Linked DNA regions of Oreochromis niloticus. The protein of the gene in region 2 purifies or fractionates together with the protein of the main gene of each other region. This does not show direct contact. Links are inferred from orthologs where the notes say so. Each region holds a gene or a part of one and is shown on either strand. Other genes may lie near its edges.

Region 1 (12,517 bases), on a different chromosome or scaffold from region 2:
GACACTTCACTTTCACATCCAAGAGCCCCTCTTCCTCCTCGGGGGTGATGTCAACTACAGCAGGAACAAAAGAAGAAGAAGTTTAAAAAAAAAAAAAAAAAAAAAAAAAAAAAGAGAACAGTACAAGTTATTATTGAAATGGTGCGTCATTACATTAGAGGAACATTGGTTAAGCCAATGATGTCTTTTCACTACAACGGCCAAATATAAATTTACAGGAATGCATCGTCAACGTGAGCATCGGCAGAGCTCACCTTTAGAACTAGACTCCGTTATCTGCAGGGCAATGCTATACGAATTGACAGCAAAGGCGTAGTCTCCGCGCTGATAATGGGCATTGCCCCGCTCTCTCTTTTGGCTGGCCAGGGCAATCTTCTCTGCAGGGGGCAGCAGCTCCAGGTCTGGAGCATCTGTAGCTTCCAGCAGTTTCACTTCTAGGGACAGCTCAGCATTTGCAGGAACTGCAGGTTCAAGACTAGAAAGGGAAAGACAAACAATCAGAGGCAGAGTTTAAGAGAGTAAGAGACAACAATCACTGGATTACACAGAAAACAGGACCTGTCACGTGTCCCCGCAGAGAACGGAAAACCATTTTTCGTACAGTAAAAAGTAGGTTTAGCTTTTTAAAATGTAGTGCTTGTATGTGGTTTTTTAAAATCTGCATTAGAGATTAGCTTAACCTGTGTACAGAGCCGTCCAGGTTTGCTTCAGCGTTTGGAGATGAATTTCTTTAGGCGTCCTGATGATGGATCACTTACATTTCTAAAAAGATGCTTAAAAAATAAAAAATCTCCACAGAACAGCAGCCTCTGGCAGCAATATTAAAACTGCTGAATGAAGGGTAGTTTGGTCCGAGGAAAGAAACTACTGCACTTTTCTACATAATGAAAAGAGAAAAAACCTGCAGTGCAGAGGAGCACTACGGCTTTCCTTCAATTTTCAGCTCATATGAAAGTTAGGAACTTGATCATGGTCACAATGTAGGACTGCATCGAATATGCACATAATCAAATGAAAACAACAAAACAAAAAAACAACCTAGAAATCTTCTGAAATAAAAACATGGACTTCTTTATGAACTGAAGACCAGCAGTGACGGGTACAGCATCACTCTTCTCACTCACTCTCTTTTATTAAACACACACAAGTGTGGAAGAGCATTTTCATTCAAGTAAAAGTACTTTTTACATTGTGATATTACTACGTTTTCTTATATAAAAGTATTCTGCAGCGATTGAAAACATTACATTAAAGTTTACAAACAGTAATTAGATACATCCATAGTCAGACGATTAAACACTGCTGCGTTCGCGAGTCTAAAAATACTCTCAGGTTTAATGAATGCGCAGCATCAATAAAGCGTTTCTTTGAGATGGCACCAGCTACTGGGCAGGCAACAGCGCCTCTCTGTCTCTCTCTCGAGATGGGCGATATAAACAAAAATCAGAAAGATGAGAGCCGCACAAACCAGTGTGACTCGGCAGCTCTGTGGGGAATGACGGGGTGTGCAGTGCCATGAAAAGAGTATTTCCCCCTTCCCAATATATTATTATTTGCATATCTGTCACTCTTCCATGTTTCAGATTAAACTAATTTTCATATTCGACAAAGAATCAAATAATAAATTAAGTCATCATTTATTAAGGGAAAAAAAATCTATCTAAACCTACCTGCCCTGTGTAAAAAAAGTAACCGTTCCCCTTGTTAAATGATAAATGAACTGTGGCCTGATCGCTGTCAGTCCTGCTGAATCACTTAAATAGAAGCTGTCTGACAAAGTGACGCAGGCTAAAAGATCTAAAGAAACAGCTGAGAAACAAAATCACTGACATCCATCAGTCTGGAAAAGATTACAGGGACATTTCTGAGGCTCTGGGACTCCAGTGAACCACAGTGAGATCCATTATCCGCACATGAGAAACTGGGAACAGTGCTGAACCTTCACAGGAGTGACCGGCCCACCAAAATTCACCCAGGAGGTCACAGAAGAACCAGAACAATATCTGATGACCTGCAGGCCTCGTCTGGCTTTGTTAAGGTCAGAGGTCATGACTCAATCATAAGAAAGAGACTGGGCAAAAATGGCCTCAGTGGGAGAGCCTAAGGAGAACACCACTGCTGACCAAGAAGATCACAAAGGCTCATCTCACATCTGCCAACAAACAGCAGGATGACCCCAGAGACTCCTGGGAAAATCTTCTGACTGATGAGACAGAAGATGAACTTTCTGGAAGGTTTGAGTCCTGTTACATCTGCATCAGACTAACAGCGTTTCATAAAGAGAACATCCCAGCAGCAGGTGGACACAGTGCTGGTAGTGTGATGGTCTGGGCGGCTCTGCTGCTCCAGGACGACTCGCTGTAACTGAGGGAACAATGAATTCTGCTCCATACCGGAAGGAGGATGTCCGCAAATCACTTCATGTCCCAAAGCTCAAGCGAAATCAGGGAGCAGAGCAATGATCCATACACAGCAGCAAGTCCACCTCTGATTGGCTCAGAAAGACTAAATGAATGTTTTGGAGTGTCCGAGTCAAAGTCTGGACTGAGCTGCTTCAGCGTGATCTTAAACAGGCGTTCATGCTGGAAAACCCTCCAGTGTGTCTGAATTAAAGCATTTCTGCAAAGAAGAGTGGGCTTAAGTTCCTCCACAGTGATGTGAAAGACTCACTGAAGGCATCACAAATGCCTGGTGGTGGAAAAGCCAGTTATCAGGTTTAGGGGGTAATTACTTTTTGATTTTTGTTGTTTGATTGTTGGGTTTTCCCTGTTCCTGTTATAATATTAAACCAACATGAGATTATTATTGTTATGCATCGCTGTAGAAGGATTCTTCTGTTTTAATTGGTTAAGATAAAGCTCATGATAAACCATTTTGTAACCTCTAACTAGAACCACGCCAACAGATCGGCTAATATTAGCTATGTGCCGATACAGCCTTATCGGCCACGATAACCCACACTTAACTCTAGAAACTACTGTGAGAAACAGTGGCACAAGCCAAGACCTGTGCTCTCCAAAGTGTGATCAGAAAGTCACTAAAGCTTCATTAGGTAAGTGGACAAGACAGAGAACTGAAACCCACTTTTAAATGAATTAGCATTGTGAGAGGGCCATTATTAAACTTGAATACAAAAAATAACAACATGGAAAAACAGCCTCAAACACTTCCTTACCTTCCTCTGGCACCATATGCATATTTGGCATCAGTCTGGATGAGTGCCTCCTCTCCCATCGCCATGAGCTGGACTGTCAGATCCAGTGCCTGAAAAGAAGAAAAGCTCTCTTCAGAAAATTAAGGAATCACACATGAAGTGTGCAAACTCTGCACACAAACTTCCGCAAAGAGCATTAATAAACTAATCTAACAGGTCTTTACCTGGATTACATCACCATCTCCCAAAGTGAAAGCAAGATCAGGCTTCTCCTCTACGACAGTCCCGTCCACCAGGCTCGTTTTAAGACGGATTTTCACATTCTGTCCTTTCTGTGGTCGACTGTCTCGCCCTTCGCCTTCCTTCAGGACTTTTTTCTTCAACTGCCCGTTACCTGGAATCAGACACAGTCACATGTACAACACTGACCACTGTCCATATCAGGCTCAATGCCCATCACTAATCAAGCAAAGTGCAGCACAGCCTACACTGCTGTGGAGCACATCATGGGTCCTACATACCCAAAACATCCAGCCATTCATCGACTTGACCTGTAGGGTCGGGGTTTGTATTTTCTGGATTTGTGGGTTGCACCTTCCCTTCCCCGACATCTTCCAGAGGAGGCGGCTCGTCGTCGTCAATGTCTTCCTCATCTAAAACTTCGAAGTCTTCTCCGCTGTCCAGCAGCGACGTTTTGCTGTTCTTCTTTGCTGATTGCGCATTATCGTGGCTATCCGACTCCATAATCTCCTCTCTGTCAGTCATTAGCAGACCCCTCTGGTAAAAAAAAAAAAAAGAAAAAAAAAAAAGACGGGAGACAACGTCAAAAATGATCCTTTGCTTAACTCTTAATGCGTGTGCCCTTCCAAAACACGGAGTCCAATTCAAATTAAAGCTCAAAACAGTGTTTAAAGATCCCCTGTCAGTCACGCACCACTGAGCTTGTTACAGGCTAACAGCACTGAAATAAAACCTGCTTTCGCTCTGAATCGATCAGGATTATTAATCGATTTTGGCGTGACGTGATGCGATTTCACCTCAACATTACCTGTTAACTGTTGTTCTACAGCAAGAAAGCCCACCAGACGTTTCCAGAAGTTTCTAACAAGTTGCCCTGCTGTCATGTGTTCCCACACGGATGGCAGGCTGCTGCTAGCACACGTTAGCCGAGGATGTACAGCTAGCTAGCTGCTAGTTGTCAGCATTAAATTAGCAATTTTTTTACTGTCTCTGAGTGTTTATCACTGCTTATACCGATCCCCGGTGGAGTGAGTCAGAGTTAGGGATTTTATAATAAAAAGCCTGTATCAAAATAACCGGATGCTTACCCCGAAATTGTCTGTGAAGAGCCGTGTTTTGGTTCTGAGCAGTCTCCTTTAGCTCGCAGTGCTGAAGTTAGGTTGCTGTCGGAGAACATGAAGCCAGTGAGACCTGGATGTGTCGCTGCATGCCAATATCAACCTGACTTCGCCACGATCTGTTAACAGCCCCAAGCAGGCTGCTTCCTGTTAACCTTGAGACCCTGCACGTTTATTGGATGTTTCATGCTTATTCATAATTTACCTCAGAGGCAGCCATGTACGCCTGCAGCTGCTATTTGTAATGATATAAAATGACTTATTTTTGCTAGTTTAAAACACCGATGAGCACACTGAAAGCTAAGAACACTCAAAATGTATTAAATTAAAAAAACAAACAAACAGTTTGTATCAGTGATTTAAGGGGTGAATTTACACATGAAGACTTTGTGTGCAGCTCTCTAATGTTTTGATTTATTCTGAAAAATGATTTTAAAACTGTGATTTACATATTCACCATGGCTAGACATGTGTTTCATCCAAACACAAATAAACAATGCTGATGTAAAGTTTTCCAGGAAAAATATGTTTCCAGTGGAAATATGTTTTTACTGATTAACATCATCACGAACAAGCAAAAGTCTTGAGTCACTCCTTGGGCTTGGTTAATGGGAAATAACTGCAGCACCTTATTAAAACATGTAGAAAACAGATGGAAATACAGTACAGAAGAGGCTTTAAAGTATCTGGTGTGACCACCTATATTCTTCAGCACAGCCTGGATTCTCTTGAATGAATCATCTGTGCAGACAATGTCAAAAGAAAAACGTAGAAAATTCTTCAGAAAGCCCGCAGGACTATTGCCCAAGCGCACTTGCAAAACAATGATAAGCCCAGCTCTTTGGAAGCAAAATATGAAGAAACGAGGGATGACTCAAGAGCGATTGCCCGAGACTATATGGAAGATGAGTTAAATGAGCGCTAAGAGGGAGAGAGAGTCAAACAACAAGGAAAAATCAAATGACATTTATTATTGATGCATTGTTTCTTTTTTGATAAGCAAATTATCTGTTTTTCTTTCAGTCTAAAGAAACTTTACAATATAAAGAAACATACAAAGAACATCTTTATTACCTACACAAGACACCTAAGTCCCTAAGACAAGATTCTGAACTATCCTACCATGAAATACAAAGCAAACCCAAGAGACAGACTGCTTCATATTGAATACTGCCGTGTCATCAGAAAGGACCGTGAACGGTACAGGAGAATCGTTATACGCCCTTACCCCGATTCCCCACCCCTCCCCGTCTCAATACAACCCCCCCGCCCGACCAGCAAATCTTCCTAATGGTACAGTATTATACATCACAATAGAAGTACAGAGATGGCCGACGATCGATATACACAGAGGACTGAGAGAGGATCAGTGAGAGAGCTTCAAACTATACAACGCTATTACAGGAGCGAATAGCAAAGGACACAGTTTTCCCCATAAGTATTACATTTTGATCTTCTTAATTTAAAATGAGGTTTCCTTAAGTATTTTTTCCTTTTTAAAAGTTTCTTAAATTGATAAAAATCCTTCATATTAAAAACTGCAATATGAGGTCACATGTTTTTTTTTGTGAGAAGATGCCCTTTTTTGTCGTTTTTCTGGAAAAACTATTCACATGATTTTTCAAAACCGAAACACGAGGAGTGGAGGGCAGAGCGAGGACGCCGCGGCTCTTTGCTCCTCTCTGTCCCGTCCTCCCCGCCACGCACGCCTTTAGCGTACGGTCTGCATTAAGTGTGTCAATGTATTCTATACATTTAGCCATATTTACTGTATTCTAGAAATTTAGCCACATGAGCCAAATAGTGCATCCTTTCACTATGAAAAACATGGACAGATCTATTTATAATTTACTTTCAGCTGTATTCATTGGTAGTGACTGACATATCAAAACATGTCAATGATATCAAAATGCATTATACAGTATTTACAAAAAGGGAAATCAAAGGGTGAGGGGTGTGGAAGGAGGGGGAGGGGTGGGGGAGGCGTGTGTCACTACATAGGAGGAACACCGGACTGAGTGATCCCCAGGCCACCGATGCCCAGACCCTGGAGATGTCCCTGTTTAACGCTGCGTACAAACTGTTCACATTGATATCAGGAAATCGATAAGTACATCACCACCACCCATAGAGGCAACGCTGGTTGCTCAGTTATTGTTGGTTTGAAAACAGCTGCGAAGCAACTGAAAGAAACAGTTTACCCTCTGAACCGGTGACAGCGAGCGTTCATCAGAAACAAATTAAATAGCGTACTGTGTGACTGTGACATGTCTGTGTGCAGATTCTATGGGCTTTATTTTTTTAATCAATTCCATACAATTGAAATTAAAAAAAAAATAGAAACTTATTGATTGCAGGTAATCCTCTTCTTTAGATGGTTTACAATCAACTCTGCTCCCATCATCAGCGCTCCCACTGCCGCTCACCCGGGTCCATTATCCCGCGCATATGGGACTCTCTGATGGGAACTCCACAGAGGCAGGTATTTAACCCACAGTTAAGAAGGTGGACCCAGCAGGATTTGTGATTTCAACCCAAACGAGTGTCTCCCACATTTGCTTCCAGCCCAAAAGGAGTCGCTGGATGGACCAGAATGAATCCTGGGAGGAAAAAGGGGCCACTTGGAGTCCATAAAAGCAGTGAAATCAAACAAAGCAAGAGGATGAAGGGTAAGGAAACACGTTCCAGGAGTCACAGACGACTTGTAAATAACAAATAATTAAAAAAAAGAAAGAAAAGAAAACACAGTACAAGCTAAATATGTTACATTTAAAGAAAAGACCCAATCCGTAGAGGAGACGAGTGGATTCACAAAATTTCTGAATTAAAAATGGCACCTGACAATCCTGACAATCACGTCAGGGTGTCATCGGAGCCATTTTCTACCAGCAAAAGAGCAGGAAGCTAGGAGAAGGGTTACTTTTTAAGACAGTACAGTTAGACGTGTGATCGTCAGGTGCATCTACAGACACACTGTACCTGAAAACCCACCTCGGTTACCCAGATACTCTTCCCGTGAAGTTTGGGGAACACATTTAGGAGGCAAACACTAAAGGAGTTTTGTGACGCGAGGCTGACGGTGGCAGAAACGAGACAAACAACAAATCAAATCACATAAACAGAAAATCATTGTGCATTTTACGAGCGTGTGCTTATTCTGTCACCGTCGACGCTGCTGCTGAGAGAAAATGTGCCCTTTACAGGAAATCATAACTACATTAGTCAAACGATATCAATTATGAAAATTAGAACAATAATATCAGCAACAACAAAAAATACAAACACTGAATGAAAACCGTTCACGCCCCAAAATGACATCATCAGTTCATCTTTTTTAACCAATCCTGTCACAGGAGCAGAGCTTTTAAAATGAGGGCTCTTGGCCCCGGGTCGGAGGACTGCTGCGCGCCCTCGTCAGTTTTAATCAGCTTGATGTGAGAACAGGGTGACGGCGGGGCGGAGCTGAATGCGGAGGGGCGTCTCGATTGGGCCTGGACGTCACCCACAAAGGCAGATTTCAGGTTCGAGAAAGACAGGCTTGGGGCAGGTTCGGGGTCTCGCGGCGCTCGGACCCTCGATGGGGCGAAGACGAGATCCTTCCTGCTGCTCGGAGGCCTTTTCATGTTCTTACACCTAGTTTGGAGGTGTTGGTGGGATGGGGGGCCTTGAGGGGAATCCTGCTTTCCAGGGGAATCCCCAGGGGCTGTGTGGCACAGCACACCATCCACGAATAGGAGGAAGAGGAGGAGGGTAATGCAAGACGCATCAGGGTGGACGGGAAAGGGAGGTTGAGATAAAGGGAGATGAAAAAGTAAAATAAAATAAAAGATTAAAAAAAAAAAAAAATCACACACTCATCGTCATGTTGGGTGAATACTGTAAAGAGAGAAAAAAAGAGAGCAAGGGAGAAAAGATAAGCCAATACTATATTTAACTTGTTCCACTATCCAGTTTAATATAAAAGCAGTTCAGCTACTTAAACTAAATGCCATGTCAAGTCCACCAGCCTTCAGCAGCAAACAGTACACACAAAGCTCTTTCTAGTTTATTCTGTATGTCAGTAAACTCAGCAAGCAGAGCGAAGCCCAGCCCAGAGAGAAAATGTGAGGGAATTTCAGATCACAGTGACGGTACAGTCTGACATTAATCACGCTACGGCAATGGCTCCATGCACCAGAGAAGGTATGATGTGTGTTTTTGTCCATGCTTGTGTGTGTGCATGCTGTGTTTCTGCGAGGGAGTCGGACAAAGCTGGGAACACGGGGCGTGACACGAAGGACTGTGCAGAGGGCAGATTTCCAAACCGGGGAGACTTTTGTGTGCAAAACACTTCAGCTCAGTGTTAATTTAGCTCTTATCATTGTAAAGCAAGGCAGCACTACAAGGTTTCCTGACAGCTAACTCACAAGTTCACAGGAGACTGTGATTAACATGCACGGATCAGTAAAAATACAATAAAACTAATAAAACTAACAAACACCAGCAGCAGGATATGGATCATCTGTGTCGCTGAACACAGATGTGAACTGAGCAATAAGGAAATGAAAGGTTTTCATCGTTCCGTCTCTTAACGTTAACAAAAATAAGCCAACTAACTCCAGTCTAAGCTTGTAGTAACACTGAGGCCCTCCATATTTAAAAATCACAGCTCTCAGCTCAGTCACATATCTGCACCGAGGTGAGATTTCACGCTGACAGAAGATTTTTGTGCTGTTACACTCTCCACCCTGAGTTTTCATAGTAAAACATCTTCAAAGCTCTCAGTCTGTTAACATAATGATGTTCTGGAGCGAAAGCAGTTTCACATGACTGTCATGTCTTTAATTTGAAAAACATCTCACTTCAGTCTGGTGGTAAATGAGTCCTGTCTGAGACAGTGAGGGACTCGCCAGCTTTCTAAAATGGATCACTTCAGACCTCCATCTATATTTGTCTTTAGAAAACCATCCCCCAGGTCGCCGTGGACAACTGGCAGCTACGATCATCTAACGTAGAGGGGGTGAGTGAGTCTCATGCCGGCGGGAATCTGTGTCAAACACTTTGAGGGTTTTTTTTTTGTGTCGTACGACACGGTACTCACACTTTCACTTTGGAATGGGTTTAAAAAGTTGCCTGCCATCTCGCCGTCATCCCGCGGAGTGCCGGGAGGATTGTTCATGCCTGCCATATTGTTGGGAGAATTCTACAAACGTGGACGAAACGCACCAATGAGAATAAAGAACTCATACAGACGGACAAAGAGAGACACGCAGGCACGGACAGACCTACCTTTGGCAACCCATCCATGTCACCAGAGCCTGTGATTAGAAAAGGAAAAAGATAAACAGTGTCAGTGCAGGATATCCAGAGCTAGCAGAAATTGCTTGCACTTAAACAACTAATGGCTTTTAATTAAGCTATTTGTTACACATACAGATGAGCACTAACTCAGCTGGCTTCACCAATCATGTCTCATACATCAACAGGATCAATTGGCCTAACTCACTGCCCCGCTAATCAATTTTCCCTTTGCTCAATACTGAGAGGACACTTCCTCGATCTACCATTAGAGGGCAGAGTCCACCTTGTAAAAGCTTTTGAGTGTCATATGATTCAGTGTATGGGCTCATAGCTTACTGTACCACATCTTTAGGTACGCACCTAGTGATCCATTCATATGATGCTGATCCATAGCACCCATTCCACCCATGGGCCCATCGGGACCTGGTCCCATTGGGAACTAAAACAAAAAACAGGCACGTCAGTCATTTTTATTTCTATAGTCCAATATAATAGATCAAAAATTACCATCAGAGGATTTTAAGACAAAACGGCTACAGCTAAATAAGGTACTGTCTCTCAGTATTTTTGCAGCTTGGGGAACACAACATGTTAGCTGAGTGGTTTATAAAAAAGAAAATAAATAAATATATGAAAACTGAGCCAAACGTCAATACATACATTAGGTCTATTACCACCAGGGCCGATGGGGTTCATCATTGTGTAGATGTTTTCGCTTGAATTTGTTGAATCTACGAACAGAAGAGCAGGTGGATGTTTAGGCTCACTGTGCTTCACTCCTCCCAGCCTGGGAAGCACTTACAGGTAAACTGCCTCTTTTTATATGCAAAATCCATGAAAAATTATATAAAGAAGTTTTGGTCCTTGAGGTAAAGAATGGGGAAAACTGAAGAGACATAGGCAGCACCAAGTTTACCATTGGTGTAATAGTTTCTGCTACAGTACAGGACAAAGACCACCACCGAAGAAGAAATAGAAAAAACATCAGTTCCTCTTTCTGCCAGTCAATGCACTCGCTGCTCTCTGCAACGCACAGTCAAAGAAACCCATCTTATTCCTGTAACAAGGAGATCAGTTGTTATACGGACACCCTGGCAACTTGGCATCAACCAGTACACGCTGTGTCGCTCCTCGCGTGCGAGTCGGTCTGTTCTTAAAAGATTCAGAGGAGTGAGGTGACCTTGATCTGACATTGCAGGTAGAAATTTGTGAGCAGATAACTGAGAAAAGCACGAGAAAGATGAATGATGAGCTGAAAGACGAGGAGCAGAGATGGACAGAGCGCATGCACGGCACATGGGGTAGAGAAATCTTGCCCATTAGCGTTCCTGAATGCGGCTTTTGTTGTCGTGACTGGAGAAAGGGGGCTAATTCCAGAGTGAGGTGAGCACTTTTGTGTGTGTGTGACTGCAGTGGAATATGTTTTCCTTCTCAGTGTAGGTGCGAGCAGGACTGCAAAGGGCTGCCCCGCAACATATCACAATAGCGGCGTGCATATAACACAAAAAGAAGCTTTTCACGGGCCATCAGAAACAGAACATCTACAGGACGACCGCCCGCGGCGTTTTGTTTGCAGTCAATCCTTCACAGAGACACCTTATTGATGGGTCAGACCTGAAAGGGATTAGTCAGTTGATTGTAAGCCTCTACTTCCACTCAAGTATTTTTCACTCTATGCCTTAAGTTAAAAAAAAAAGTGTGACAAAGGATTTTTCATGAACATCACATTTGAGAGTTCCACACAAAAGCACATTCAGTGCAATATATATTTTTTTCCATTTTTCAGTGTTTTACACTTAAAACTCCTCCTAAAGGCTCAATTCTTCACATATTTAGAGCCCGATCTGTCTCCCAAAGAGACATGTGTATCTGACGGAGAACACGTTTGATGTTTCTTAGACAAACCCTCCTTCAGTGAGCACCGGATTAAAGCAGAAACCAGAAGGGAAACTGAAATGTATAACTCACCTCCAGGGCTAGGCATGATGGGAGTTCCTGGTGGGCCGCCTCCCCCCGGAGGACCCTGAGGGGTGAGAGCAAGCGAGGGAGAGAAATGAGCACCGAGTGCATCTAGACGGCAGCGCGCCTGTTAGATATCACAGTGTGACAGGTAATTTATGGCCCGTGGTCGAACACGAGTTTGTGACGGGACACTTACCACATAGTTGCCTGGAGATGAAGATGAATAAGCTATCTGTGGGGAGGAGAGACCCGGGGTGAAACACAACATGAAGCACAGTTATTGTAAACGCACTCGGTCACGTGGACGTGAAGATGCGAGAGGATGTGACTCACCGAGTTGGTGTTGGGGTTCGGCCACGGACCTCTTCCGCCAGGACCCCTGAAATGCAGACAGGGGATAAAGGGGAGGTTTTATTATTTGTTATGTACGTGGACTCTAGAGATTATTGCAAGAGTCCATCAGTTGACGTGCAGAAATGATCTAGAAACCTGCCTATTCAGCTTTCTGGGATCTTTACTGAGGGAAAGGACTTTTAGTTTTATTGGAGTGACGGTCAGTCACAGGACAAGCATTCAGACTCTGAAACAGAAGACGACTTGTTGTTTTTTTAGTGCCACGTTTACTCTTTGGGGTTGAAAGTTCATTGACTGTTTCTGTGCAGCCACACTAACGTGGCTCACACCTTCCTGGAGAATTATCATCTCCAAGCTGCCTTTTGTCAAAAGAAACTCTATGAAAGAAAAGGTGTCTGAGCTACATGTT
Region 2 (11,951 bases):
AACAAGGCTCAGCAGCACCTTCACTTCCTGAGGTTGCTGAAGAGGAACTGTGTGCATGGGAAACTGCTGGTGACCTTTTATTACGCCAGCGTAGAAAGCATCCCGGTGTACTGCGTAACAGCCGGATGCTCTGCAGCAGATAAAAAGGGTAATCAGAAGGAAATAACAAACACATTACCAAAGACCGCTGGCTGCACTCTCCCCTCCCTACAAGAGGCTGTTTATGCAAAATACCACCTTAAAAATCACTAAATATGATTCTCACTCTGGACTCTACTTGACCTGATGCCCGGTGGTTGAAGGTAGAAGTTCATCAAAACAAAGACAAACAGTGCAGTTACTGTCTGAAATCGAATACTGTAAAGTATCGTCTGTTTCATTCTTGACACCTTAACATTGATCATTATTTATCATCTTCTGCTGACTTTTTGTTCTTTTTTTGAGACAGAACTAGCACTCGATTTTCTGTCTTTTATAATGCGATAACAACAAAAGCATTCTGATTGTAATAATGGTGGAAAAACACGAGTCATAGTCGCTGTCATCATTTTTTAAATTACTCCATATAAATGTTATATTAGTAAAATATGTTTTTTTAAATCAGTAAAATGTCTGAAACATATTTATAAAAAAAGCAGAAACAATTAAAAAGTACTAACATAGAGAAAATTGTACTACATTTGTACTAACAATAAGAAAATAAGACAAATATGGACAAATGTTCAGCGAAATAAATATTTCAAAATATTAAAATAACTGAAACGTGTTTTGGAAGCTTATTAGGCCATAAAATGAATAAACACCATTTAAAAATATTATTGAAAGAATTACTGACATGTAAAAAGCTTATCATGAGTAATAATGTACAAAGAAATAGTACAAAAAGCTCAAAGTGGTTAGAGCCAGAGAAGTGTGGCAGTACAGAGATCCAAATATGGCCAAAGCTGAGCGTGAAGTGGGGACAGGGAGGAGGCGGGGGGGGGGCAGAGGAGGATGTTTAAGCAGCAGACTGCAGCAGGTGGGAGTGATGACAACAGCCAGTGCTGGTCTAGGAGCCTCTTCAGCTTCCTGCCGTGACATCATCAAAGAGAAAGACATGTTGCTTAGTGCAGAAAGAGGTGAGAACAGCAGTCGTGGAGGTCGATGGTTAGGAATGAGGCAGCAGGGTCAAAGAGAACATGAACTTGGACCGAACTGTGGAAACCAGAGACACACCATGTTTGGTAAAGGGGAGTCACCGGCCCCACTCCTGGAGGACGACTGACCGCCGTAGAAGAGGCCGGCTGTCAGCAAGCTGAACGGAGAGCAAAGTGTCTCCCAGTGGAGGCCGGATGAGGAGGTGTTGTGTCCAAAGCCTTCGACTTGTTGGTCTTTAAAGAGAAGATTAAGGAAAACAGACATCTGTATTTCCAGTGAAACAGCTGAGAAAACTTCAAGATGGCTCAAGAGAGAACCAGGGGAGGAGAGTACCCACCCGTTAATGTGGACCCATCCTGGTGTCGGATCAGCCTCAGCAGGGTTTCCAGGAGGAGGCTGGATGATGCTGAAAGTCCTGAAACACCTGAATAAACACATCATTCTCAAAGAAATTTAGAATACAGCTAGTCAGGAAAAAAAAAAGTTAAATCCTCAATAAAGATTCAGTAAAACATCCAAAGAATTTCTATGAAAACCCAGGAAACACCTTGAGCACAGGTCCAACAAACCAAAGGAAGGAAAGCTGTCCGGATCATTTTCACAAAACAATTTATTTAAACCTCCAAACAGTGAAAACTCACTTCCTGTCACATTATTTTCAACCTATGAGATCAGGTTTGTTTGAACCTGAATTTGTCACATTGACTGAAAGTGTCTGTTTAGACGCTGCAGGAGTATCTCTGAGCAGCTCCTTCTTCACTGTGACACTGAAGAAAACAAAAAAACAGGAATATTCTCTGATTTTCAACAGACGAGTTTCACAAAGACACAAAGTCACGTCGAGAGTACGTGTTTCATGACTGTGAGTTTTGACTCGGAGAAGGCTCAGGCACTAATCCTCCTCTTCAGCTCTGTGAGGACTTGTTGGGATTCAGGCTTTAGTCCTGAAGTCTTTCCTTCTCCTCGAGCCTGTTTTCTCAAAACACACCGTTGACATCAGCAGCCGGCTTTCGTTAACCCGTCCTCTGCAGCTGGTCAGGTGGGAAAGTCTAGAAAACGTCTCCTCTTCTGCTCTCTGGCAGGTCGCCCAGGCCCTGCAGCTCCCTCAAACCCTGAGTAGGGAAACATGAAGAAGCCAATCAGATTCTCTACCTGCTTCTTTAACATCTGGTCATTAATCAGATCAATCTGACTATTTTAACCCTTTTGTCACCAGTAAATACTGAAAAACAGTGTTTTAACTGAACATATTCAAATCTGATCTTGATGTATTTCATTAGATGGGTAAAACTTTTTACTTCTAGTTCAATGTTCAAACTTCATTGACTGTAAAATCCTCAGAAATGAGTAACAAGTTATTTAGTACTTAAGTATAAGCCAGAGGAAAACTCCTGCACCCAACAGAAACTATTATTATATAAAAACTGTCCTATAATCCACCTGAGAAGAAACTGACCTCCAGCACCATGCGGATATGGGCTTTTATTTTGGCAGAGTCTTTTGTGAGCTGCTCCGTGAAGCTGTAACACAAACACAGGGTTAGCATGGCAAAAAGTGACAGTGCTAACAAAGAGCTAACATGAGCTAGCTAATAGACATTGGTATGCAACAACAAATCGTAAAAAATAATCAATCATAATAATAATAAAAAAAAGAAAATATAAAATAAAAAATATTAGTAATATATTATTAATAGAGAAATTAGTAATAATTCCAATAATTCTAAATTCTAAATAAACAAATAAAAATTAATTTTAAAGTACAATAAAAACAGGAAATTGTCAGAAAAAAATAATAATACAACAAAAATATCAATGTTTTAAAATGGAAAATTTAAGTGTGAAAAAAATACTTGAGAAATATCTAAAGATAAAATTAATAATAAAATCATAAATATTGAGAAAACCCACCAAAAATATCTAAAAACAAAATCAGGACATTTCAAAATAAATAGTTCTAACATATTTTTTTCAAATAATTTCACAACAAAGTGAAATTCTGAGCTCATTTGAAAAATGTCTGAAACATAATTACATTTTTATGCTTTTTCTCCTACTTTTAATCTTAATAGTGTTACAGTGACAATGAACTCACGCTGTGAGCTGACTCGTCTTCTTCTCGATGAACCTCAGAGCCTCGTCGTGAGTCATCTCCACAAAGAAACCGTAACCGACGGCCACAAACATCCTGGATGAGTCCTCACTGATGGAGGAGAAGGAAAAGAGAACTGAGTTTAAACAGGAACTGAAATCCTTTTGGAAACACAGAGCACGGATGCTCTAGCCTCTCTGGAGTCTCGCAGCACACTTCATTAGCCTAAACGCAGCATTTTTGCCTGTTCGAATGCAGAACAGCTGCTGGTGACCTTCGTGTGTCAGCAACTCACACTTCAGCCTGAACGTAGAAGTTACAGCCAAGATCAACGTCTGTCTTCAGCTGCTGAGAGCCCGCCTCCTGCAGGAACACAAAGAAGCGTGTGACTTTCATTCACTCGTGGAACAGGCGGCCCAAGCTCAGAGAAAAAAATACTCCATCTCAGTGTCTACAGGCCTCAGACAGCATGTTAGAGGTTAACGTTCATGACATGACAGTTAGAAAAGAGACTGAATGAGTTTGGCTTGTTTGGCGGGGTTTCCACAGAAAAATATATCAGTGAATATGTAAGAAGCTCGGAAAGAAAAGTGACTGAAGACGTTTCATCCGGAAAGATTCTTCAGTTCTAAGACCAAATGTTGGACAGTTCAAAGTATTAAATCACATGAGCCAAGGTGTGTGATGGGGCACATGATTAATAGTCGGGTCAACGACCCTCTTATGGGACAACTCCCACTAGGACTTAAAGACCTGGGACTCTTCACCGTTTAGTTTTAGAACTGAAGAAGCTTCTTGGATGAAACGTCTTCAAGAAACTTAAAGAAGTCGAGTCGCTTTTCTTTCCAAGCTCCTTAGATTACCATGACCTGGATGACTGAAAACCTACACAGACATCAATGATTATGAGAGTGATTTAAAAAAATATCTGAAAACTAAAATAAAAACGTCCATCCTCTAAATAAAATAAAAACAAATAAAAAATTATTTTTTTAAATATCTGAAAAGTGGAGGTAAAATGTCTGAATGTTTTGATTTTCCAGCTGTAGTTTCAGGCTCTTTGATCCAGACGATGGAGGTTTGGGTTCACAGCTCTCGGCCTAATGAGCCACATGTATTGATCTGCTGGATAAACAGCTGCAGTGAGGCTCAGCTGTATTGATGGAGGTCCGATAAGCTCCACCATCTTTCCTCACAGAAGAGTGTGCTGAATTACAGAAACAGCTCACACAGAGAAGCTACAGAGAGAGATGTCTGTATTGGCAGAGCTCAGTCTGCAGCTCATTAACCAGCAGACAGAAGCATTTAACATTAACAGAGAATGACAGCCAGCACAAACACTACAACGATCTCCAGTTTGATGTGGAAATCTCTTCTTTTCTAAACTGAAAAACCTACAGATCTTCAAAATAACACAGTACATTTTGTGTGCGTTTACCTGCAGACTCTGTATGGTGTTCTTCAGCTGCAGGTACTGAGAGATCTTCTCATAAACCTGATCCCTCTGCTCCACCACCTTCCTGCCAAACGACAGCCGTCACTTGATTTACAGAGAACATTAACGCCTTCAGATGCACCAAAATAATTCAAACAGCCTAAACACGCCAAGAAAATCTGATTCAAAGCACCAAACAGCATTTCAGACACCTGAACTCTTTAGTCTGTGTCACTGAACACTCAGATGCCAACCTGAAGAACCACATAAATACCTGTAAGATTAGATCTACCCTTCTTATCCATCACACATGTGTACTTATAATAGATTCAAGCTCATTATTGTATCCTTTCTATATAACTGAGCTCCTTCTTAGGTGTAGTTTTTAGATTTTTGCACCATTTTGTTCTGTAACTGTACAAAGTAATTTCTGTATTTCTTTTCTTACACCCTAATAAAATTGTCAGTGTTCACATTAAACACAACCAGTCGGGTCTGTGCATGTACAAGTAACCCATGTGAACCAAAGGCTAACGCCTTAGATTGCTCTAAATACTTTTTCAAGTCTTGAATCTGTATGATGTCATTGAGAGGAGATATCCCTATTATAGCCCACCCACCCGCTGTCTGGGGAGCTAAACCAGTCATGTCATAGGCAAAAAAGAATTATTTTGAACTATGAATCATGCAAAGCTACTCTAGTGTCATAGTGTTCAAGAAAAACAATATAAAGCTGTAAATTAACAAAACTGATCCACTTTAAATAAGATGGTCTGAGGCTGCTTCTAATGGAGCTGTGAAGGAGCTTGTTGACCCAATTGCCAAGTGTACTCCACAGTTTTCCTAAACAGCTTGTGTCCCTGGATGTGCTTCGCACTCTGTTAGCTCATGCTGAGCTCTGCTCTGCAGTACTGGCTGCAGAATGTGAAGCAGTAAGAGGTTTCCTCTTAGTGTGGTCAAAACGCTCCAGTTCTGTCTGGTTTGTTGCCCCAGTTGTTGCAGTGCTGGCACAGCAGTGACATGTATAACAATCCCACTGTATTAAAAACACATTGCACGCAAAGGCTGTCTTGACAACGTCTACATGCCTAAATGAATTGAGTTGCTGCTACATGAATCGCTGATAAGATATTTGGGTTGAGCAGGTATTCCTAAAAAAGCAACTTGTGAGTGTAAATATTTAATAATCAGTCTGCAAGTAATTAAGGCACGGAGGGGGACCAAAATGACACCAGCACTATTATACAATCAGCAGCTGTGAGACTTGACCTTTATTAGGCTGTTAATTAAGCTTTAAATGACTTTAATTTGTAGTCACTCCTCATTGACCTTCATATCGCCTCTACTACCTGTTCAAAGTCTGCCTGGATAAAAATCTGAGTTCATAAACTCATATCTACACAAGTATTTTGCACTACTTTAACTACAGATTACATTTCTTTTACTTTAGTTTTTAAAGTTCTGTAACTGAATAAAGCTCTCTGTAAGGACATAATAAACTGTGTTCAGACATCAGCTGTAGTGTCTTCTTACTGTAAGTCTCTCTTCAGGACTTCGTTGATGAAGGTTTCATACTGCAGGACCTTCTGGTCCACGTTAGGTCTAGCTGTGGCATTGTCGGGAGCAGACATTTCTTCACTGTCTTCTCTTTAAAAGAAGCTACAAATAACAGAAAAAACATTCGGTTGAGCTGCGGATAAAGTCCAGCTGCGAACTGCCCGATCTCTCTGTCGTAAACTTTAATGTTTCTGCACACCAAACTCTCCGGCTAGCATGCCTAAGACAGGACGTAAACACGCCACTCTACACCGGATGAGAAGAAAGTGTGAACAAGTACTTCCGGGTTTCAAAATGAACCCAAAGAATAGATTTAGTGAAAACAGAAAAGACGAAACGACAGCAACGCTGCAAAAGCTTGTCAATTAATGATAGCATAAACTCGGAAACTCTAAAAAAAATTTCTTACTTTATTTTTTAATATAGTAGAATAGAAGGCCTTTTTCGTTATGTAGAATACCAGTACGGAGTGAATTATTTTTATTCTTTATCCTGCTGCTGTAAAACAAACATTTCCCAATTGGATTCAGAAAAGTCTGTCTGTCGGTCAGGGAAATTTGAAGCATTTTCCTGAGCAGATTATAAATTTTAGACACATCAAGTACATCTCTATGCAGTTCAAAAGACTTGCTTTATAAACCAAAAAATAAACTAAATTGCTTTTTAATCATTAATCGAATCAAATGTTCAAGTCAAATTGTTAAGTTTGTACGTTAAAAAATGAAACAGCAAACAAGAACAAAAAAAGAATCAAAAATAAAATAAAACAAAATAAAACGTTGATTCTGGTTAATGCTTTCTACCTGCTCTGGCTCTATGGAGGTCCTGTCTCATGACGTCACTGTAAACAAACATGGCAGACCACGGGCGGCTCTGTAGCTAGCTACTGTAACACGAAACAATTATTAAAACGTCCTGAATGAAAATGCGTATTAAAAAAATTAAATATCGTCGTTTTTGTAGTTTCTTTCTTAACAAGCGTGCGTGTCAAGCCGGCAGCAGAAGTTAAACAGTAACAGGTTTTAAAATTTTAGCTGGGTTATCTGAGTTAAGACGTTGCCAAGGCAACGTTAGCCAACAGCTAGCTGTCTCGCTTCCCGTGGTCAGGATTTATTTTCTGAGAGACTTTTCTTTACAGCTGTTTGTTGTTGCATATGTAATATAAGCCGAATTTAAGTTAACGGTTTAAAGTTTTACTGGGCTTAAAATAATAGTTTAATAACTGTATCTTATTGAGCAATCGTGCGCAGCATCGTGAACGGCTTAATTTTTGAGTGAAGTTCGAGGTTTGCGTTCCTCTCTCTGGTTTGCTGTTCCAAGGAGCTGATTTGTATATCATTGGGGGTTTACTTCAAACCACACACTCTTTGAATTAACAAAAACATCAGTGAGAGTTGTGACCAGATTAAATCCAGATTAACTGAAGCTGTTTTAAACGCTCATGAAAACATGGAGCAGTATAACATTCTGGGTCGGACAGGAGAAGGAGCTCATGGCATAGTCTTCAAGGCCAAACATATTGAGGTGACGGACTGGTGCTTTTATGTCTGCATCTTACTTCATTTCTTTTTTTTTTCTTTTTTTCTTTTTTTTGTAATCCGATCAGCATTAAATTTGGGGTCTAACCTCAGCGGCTTAGATATGTGACATGGAAATGTTCTTGTGTGTCAGACAGGGGAGACGGTGGCTCTGAAGAAAGTGGCTCTGAGGAGGCTGGAAGACGGCATTCCGAACCAGGCTCTAAGGGAGATTAAAGCACTGCAGGAGATCAAGGACAACGAGCATGTGAGTGAATGTGCAGACAGTTTTTACAGATAAGAGTCATTTTAATCTTAAAATTTGATTAGTGTTTAGCAGCACGGTGGTGCGGTGGGTAGCACTGCTGCCTCACAGCAAGAAGGTCCTGAGTATGAGTTCGACTCCCTTCTGTGTGGAGTTTGCGTGTTCTCCCTGGGTTCTCTCCGGGTACACTGGCTTCCTCCCACAGTCCAGAGACATGCAGTTAGTGGGGTTAGGTTAATTGGTTATTCTAAATTGCCCATAGGTGTGAATGTGAGTACAAATAGTTGTATGTCTCTATGTGTTAGCCCTGCAACAGACTGCCCACCTGTCCAGGGTGTACCCTGCCTCTTGCCCTATGGTAGCTGGGATATGCTCCAGCTCCCCTGGTGGCTGGGGGGATGTCACAAACAAAATATAACAGAAACCAAAAATTAGTACATGGAAAACATAGACGATCAAAGCAGAGCAGCAAGAAAAGAGCCAAGCATAACAGACATGTTAATAAAAAGGAGATTAGGCTATATGAGAAAATTATAAGAAGCTGCAGAGTGTCTGGAGTCTGAAGGGATGCAGGACTTCTTTCTGTGACTTTCTCCTCAGGTGGTGAAGCTGAAGGACGTCTTTCCTCACGGCACGGGCTTCGTCCTGGTGTTCGACTTCATGCTGTCTGACCTCTCTGAGGTCATAAGGAATTCCCAGCGCCCTCTGACCCCTGCGCAGGTCAAAAGTTACATGATGATGTTGCTGAAGGGCGTGGCCTTCCTGCATCACAACAATGTCATGCACCGGGTGAGCGCAGCTAACAGTTATTATCATTAATGAGTCATCTGACTGTTTTCTCAGTGAATCCTGTGTTTGTAACAAGCAACACTTAAGCATACAAGGTTATTTAAATACTGTTGGTTATTCATAATAAATGAAAAGCTGAAAATATGGGAAATGCTAAAAAACTGAATAGTTGCTGCAGTCTGAGGTGTTGCAGGAGGAGGTGAGAAGGTGGTGTTCGGGTTTCTTTTCTTTAACAAAATAAATCAAACCAATTATAAAATGACGTTTGTGTGTTTGCAGGACCTGAAACCAGCAAACCTGCTCATCAGCTCCTCAGGCCACCTGAAGATTGCAGACTTTGGTCTGGCCCGGCTGTTCAGCGAGCAGGGAGAGAGGCTGTACAGCCACCAGGTGGCCACCAGGTAAATAGGATAAGATGAGATTAAATAAGAAATACTTTATTTAGCAGGTAGCTTTAGCTAATCAAAATAAAATACAGTATGACTTACCAAAAGAACTCAGTGAGGTAAAAAACACGAAGAGCAAAATGCTCATTTAAATAGAAAAATGACAGTAAAATGAAAGATCTCAAGTGAAAATTTAAATGCAATATAATGAACCTAAAAGTAAGTACTTTTGTATATAAAATGCAGTAATGCAGTATCTGAATGGCTGAATGTAATACAGAAAATGGCTCTATAAAGTAAGCACAAGCACAGCATTAGCTTTAGTGCTGCTGGGAAAAATCCATGTGGTGACATGGAAAATGCAGTCAGTTGATACTTTAAATATTCACTCAGACTTGCTTTAAAGCTCAACTGGTGAACAAATGTGTCACAGAACAGATTCACATATTCAGATTTGAGGTGCTCATTACACCAGTAAATAATAATCATGTTAAAGTCGCCATGTCATGTGACTTGTTGGTTCAGTTCATTCTAAAATAATCACCACTTTCAACTGGATATTACTGATACTTTATCAGTAATGTGCAGTAAATGCACTGAGCTACATTTGACCACTGTGTGTGTTTAGATGGTACAGAGCCCCTGAGCTGCTGTACGGAGCCCGAAAGTACGACGAGGGAGTCGACCTGTGGTGAGTACAACCCTGAAAACGCTGCTAAAAGTAGCGCCCACACTATTATTTTTTTGCTGTTGTTCGATCATTATAGCTTACATTACATTATATACATTTACGTTACATAGTACTTGTTTAACCTGGCATTCGAGGCTAATTAGTGTGATTTTCATCTGGCTCTGCATTTATATTATGTCATTATTTTATATCTGTAATTTATATTTTATATTGTGATTTTATCTGTATCATGGTTTTACTGGAAAGCACTTTGGTCTTTAAATGTGCTGTACAAATAAATTTGATTTGATTATCTACTGTGAATCCTCTGCTGATTAGCTTTTACTCAATAAACCTAGATGCTTTTGTTTCTGTTGTGCCTGCTTGTATTCTTTTCCTGTATCAGCATATTTTATTATATATTACTCTTTAACATACTATGTAACATGGGACCATATAATAAGAAAGAGTAAGCTTGTAGCTTCAGTACACGCTAACTCTGTTAGTGTTCACAGTTCCTGCTCAGGTGTAAATTGGTCCAGTGATCAGAGATGAACAGCAGGGGGCAGCAGCAGTCTGAAGTCATGGCTTACTGTTTAGTCCGTGTGTGCGCTTGTGTGTGTGTTTCAGGGCGGTCGGCTGTATTTTTGGGGAGCTGTTGAACTCGTCTCCTCTGTTTCCTGGAGAGAACGACATCGAGCAGCTCTGCTGTGTCCTCAGAGTGCTGGGAACCCCGACTCAGGACAGCTGGCCTGTAAGATACACACTGGTTTTTCCATCACTTCAGGGGACGTTACATTAATATACATTCATTTTCTTCTCGATCTTTTTTTGTATTAGGTTAAGTATTAAGCTTTATATCAAAGTATCATCTCACACATTCTGTCTTTTATATAAAAGACATATCGTGAAAATGTAAACACAATGAGGATGTAAAATAAACTGGAACACTGCCTAATTTCCACATGTATTCACTCAGTGTATTCACACTGTGGTAGTGTTTACTCTTTCATCTTTGGACATAGTGCATATAAATGTCCGCCCACATCCACGTTCATTAACTTTAAATGTGCTAAAAAGACGCAATGTGTTATTTTTTAAAATAATGTTTTTCAGTGCATAGTCAACATCATAATCATCATCAGTATATTATTATATGTGATAGGCCTGCAATCATCTGCCTGAAATATTGGTTGGCCTCCGTTTAGCTTTATTTAAAATGTTTAAATGTTTTTAGACTAGCAGTAAATGATGATGAATATGTAGAGAAATTAAATCGGACCTAAAACTGATCCTTGTGGCACTCCAAACCAAACTGATAAAAGAAACTGTGTGTGTTTACTCTAAAAACCTACAACTGTTTGAAGTCTGGCGACATCTTTGTGGTCTGTGTGAGATTTTATCTGAAGGCTAAGGTAAAATAATTCACTCTGCGAAGTTTAATTTTGTCTTGTTTTTTTCTTCTATGGCTGTGAAACTGGTTAAAACATTTTAATCCCTCTCCTGTCTGTCTCCAGGAGATAGTGGAGTTGCCAGATTACAATAAAATCACCTTTAAGGAGAATCCAGCAATCCCATTGGAGGAAATCGTCCCTGACATGCCCCCTCAGGCAGTGGACCTGCTCTATAAGTTCCTGGTGTATCCATCTAAACAGCGCTGCTCAGCCAGACAGGTAAGAAACCTGAAGCAGACCTTAAGTTCAAAGGTGGAGTTCCTCAGGGCTCGGTCAGAGGTCCTCTCATTTTTACATAAAGAATCATTTCTTGGAACGTAGCCATTATATTCTCCCATTCACCCATTATCACTCAGATAAAGTTTAATAAACTGATTATTGATCAGTGCTCTGCCTGTCCTCTCCTCCTTACTGCAGGCTCTCCTCCATCCATATTTCTTTACTTCGCCAATTCCTGCTCACCACTCAGAGCTGCCCATCCCTGAAAGGGGAGGGCGACCCCCCCGCCAACGCTTCCAGGCTCCGCCCACTGACTTCTCAGTGGACCTACCCTTGCAGAACAGTGTGGTAGACCCTGCCCTAATACAGGGATATGCTTCCTGCCTCTGAACTGACCGCTGATCTTTACCATCTCTAAGCTGCTCTTATAC

The links.
Region 1: the proteins of cdk20 (region 2) and fkbp8 purify together in Homo sapiens (affinity purification with mass spectrometry; 5 studies listed by BioGRID and IntAct, with this or other methods). This does not show direct contact. The link is inferred for Oreochromis niloticus from reciprocal best matches to the Homo sapiens genes CDK20 and FKBP8.

Annotation. Positions count from the first base shown.
Region 1 is NC_031986.2:34,621,517-34,634,033, forward strand, and holds the start of fkbp8 (peptidyl-prolyl cis-trans isomerase FKBP8), read right to left. Parts: upstream 4,656-12,517; 5' UTR 4,483-4,655; intron 4,422-4,482; exon of another isoform or gene 4,203-4,421; intron 3,932-4,202; 5' UTR 3,920-3,931; coding exon 3,676-3,919; intron 3,549-3,675; coding exon 3,379-3,548; intron 3,265-3,378; coding exon 3,176-3,264; intron 476-3,175; coding exon 255-475; intron 55-254; coding exon 1-54. Other genes in the region: ssbp4 (single-stranded DNA-binding protein 4), read right to left, coding at 8,359-8,388, 9,593-9,694, 9,781-9,809, 10,153-10,231, 10,453-10,523, 11,761-11,815, 11,951-11,986, 12,088-12,133. UniProt on the Homo sapiens protein: Constitutively inactive PPiase, which becomes active when bound to calmodulin and calcium. Seems to act as a chaperone for BCL2, targets it to the mitochondria and modulates its phosphorylation state.
Region 2 is NC_031984.2:4,340,206-4,352,156, reverse strand, and holds the start of cdk20 (cyclin-dependent kinase 20), read left to right. Parts: upstream 1-7,026; 5' UTR 7,027-7,669; coding exon 7,670-7,744; intron 7,745-7,891; coding exon 7,892-8,005; intron 8,006-8,602; coding exon 8,603-8,791; intron 8,792-9,070; coding exon 9,071-9,192; intron 9,193-9,805; coding exon 9,806-9,868; intron 9,869-10,477; coding exon 10,478-10,601; intron 10,602-11,364; coding exon 11,365-11,520; intron 11,521-11,718; coding exon 11,719-11,910; 3' UTR 11,911-11,951. Other genes in the region: protein UXT, read right to left, coding at 2,187-2,249, 2,594-2,657, 3,232-3,339, 3,524-3,591, 4,667-4,748, 6,197-6,294. UniProt on the Homo sapiens protein: Required for high-level Shh responses in the developing neural tube.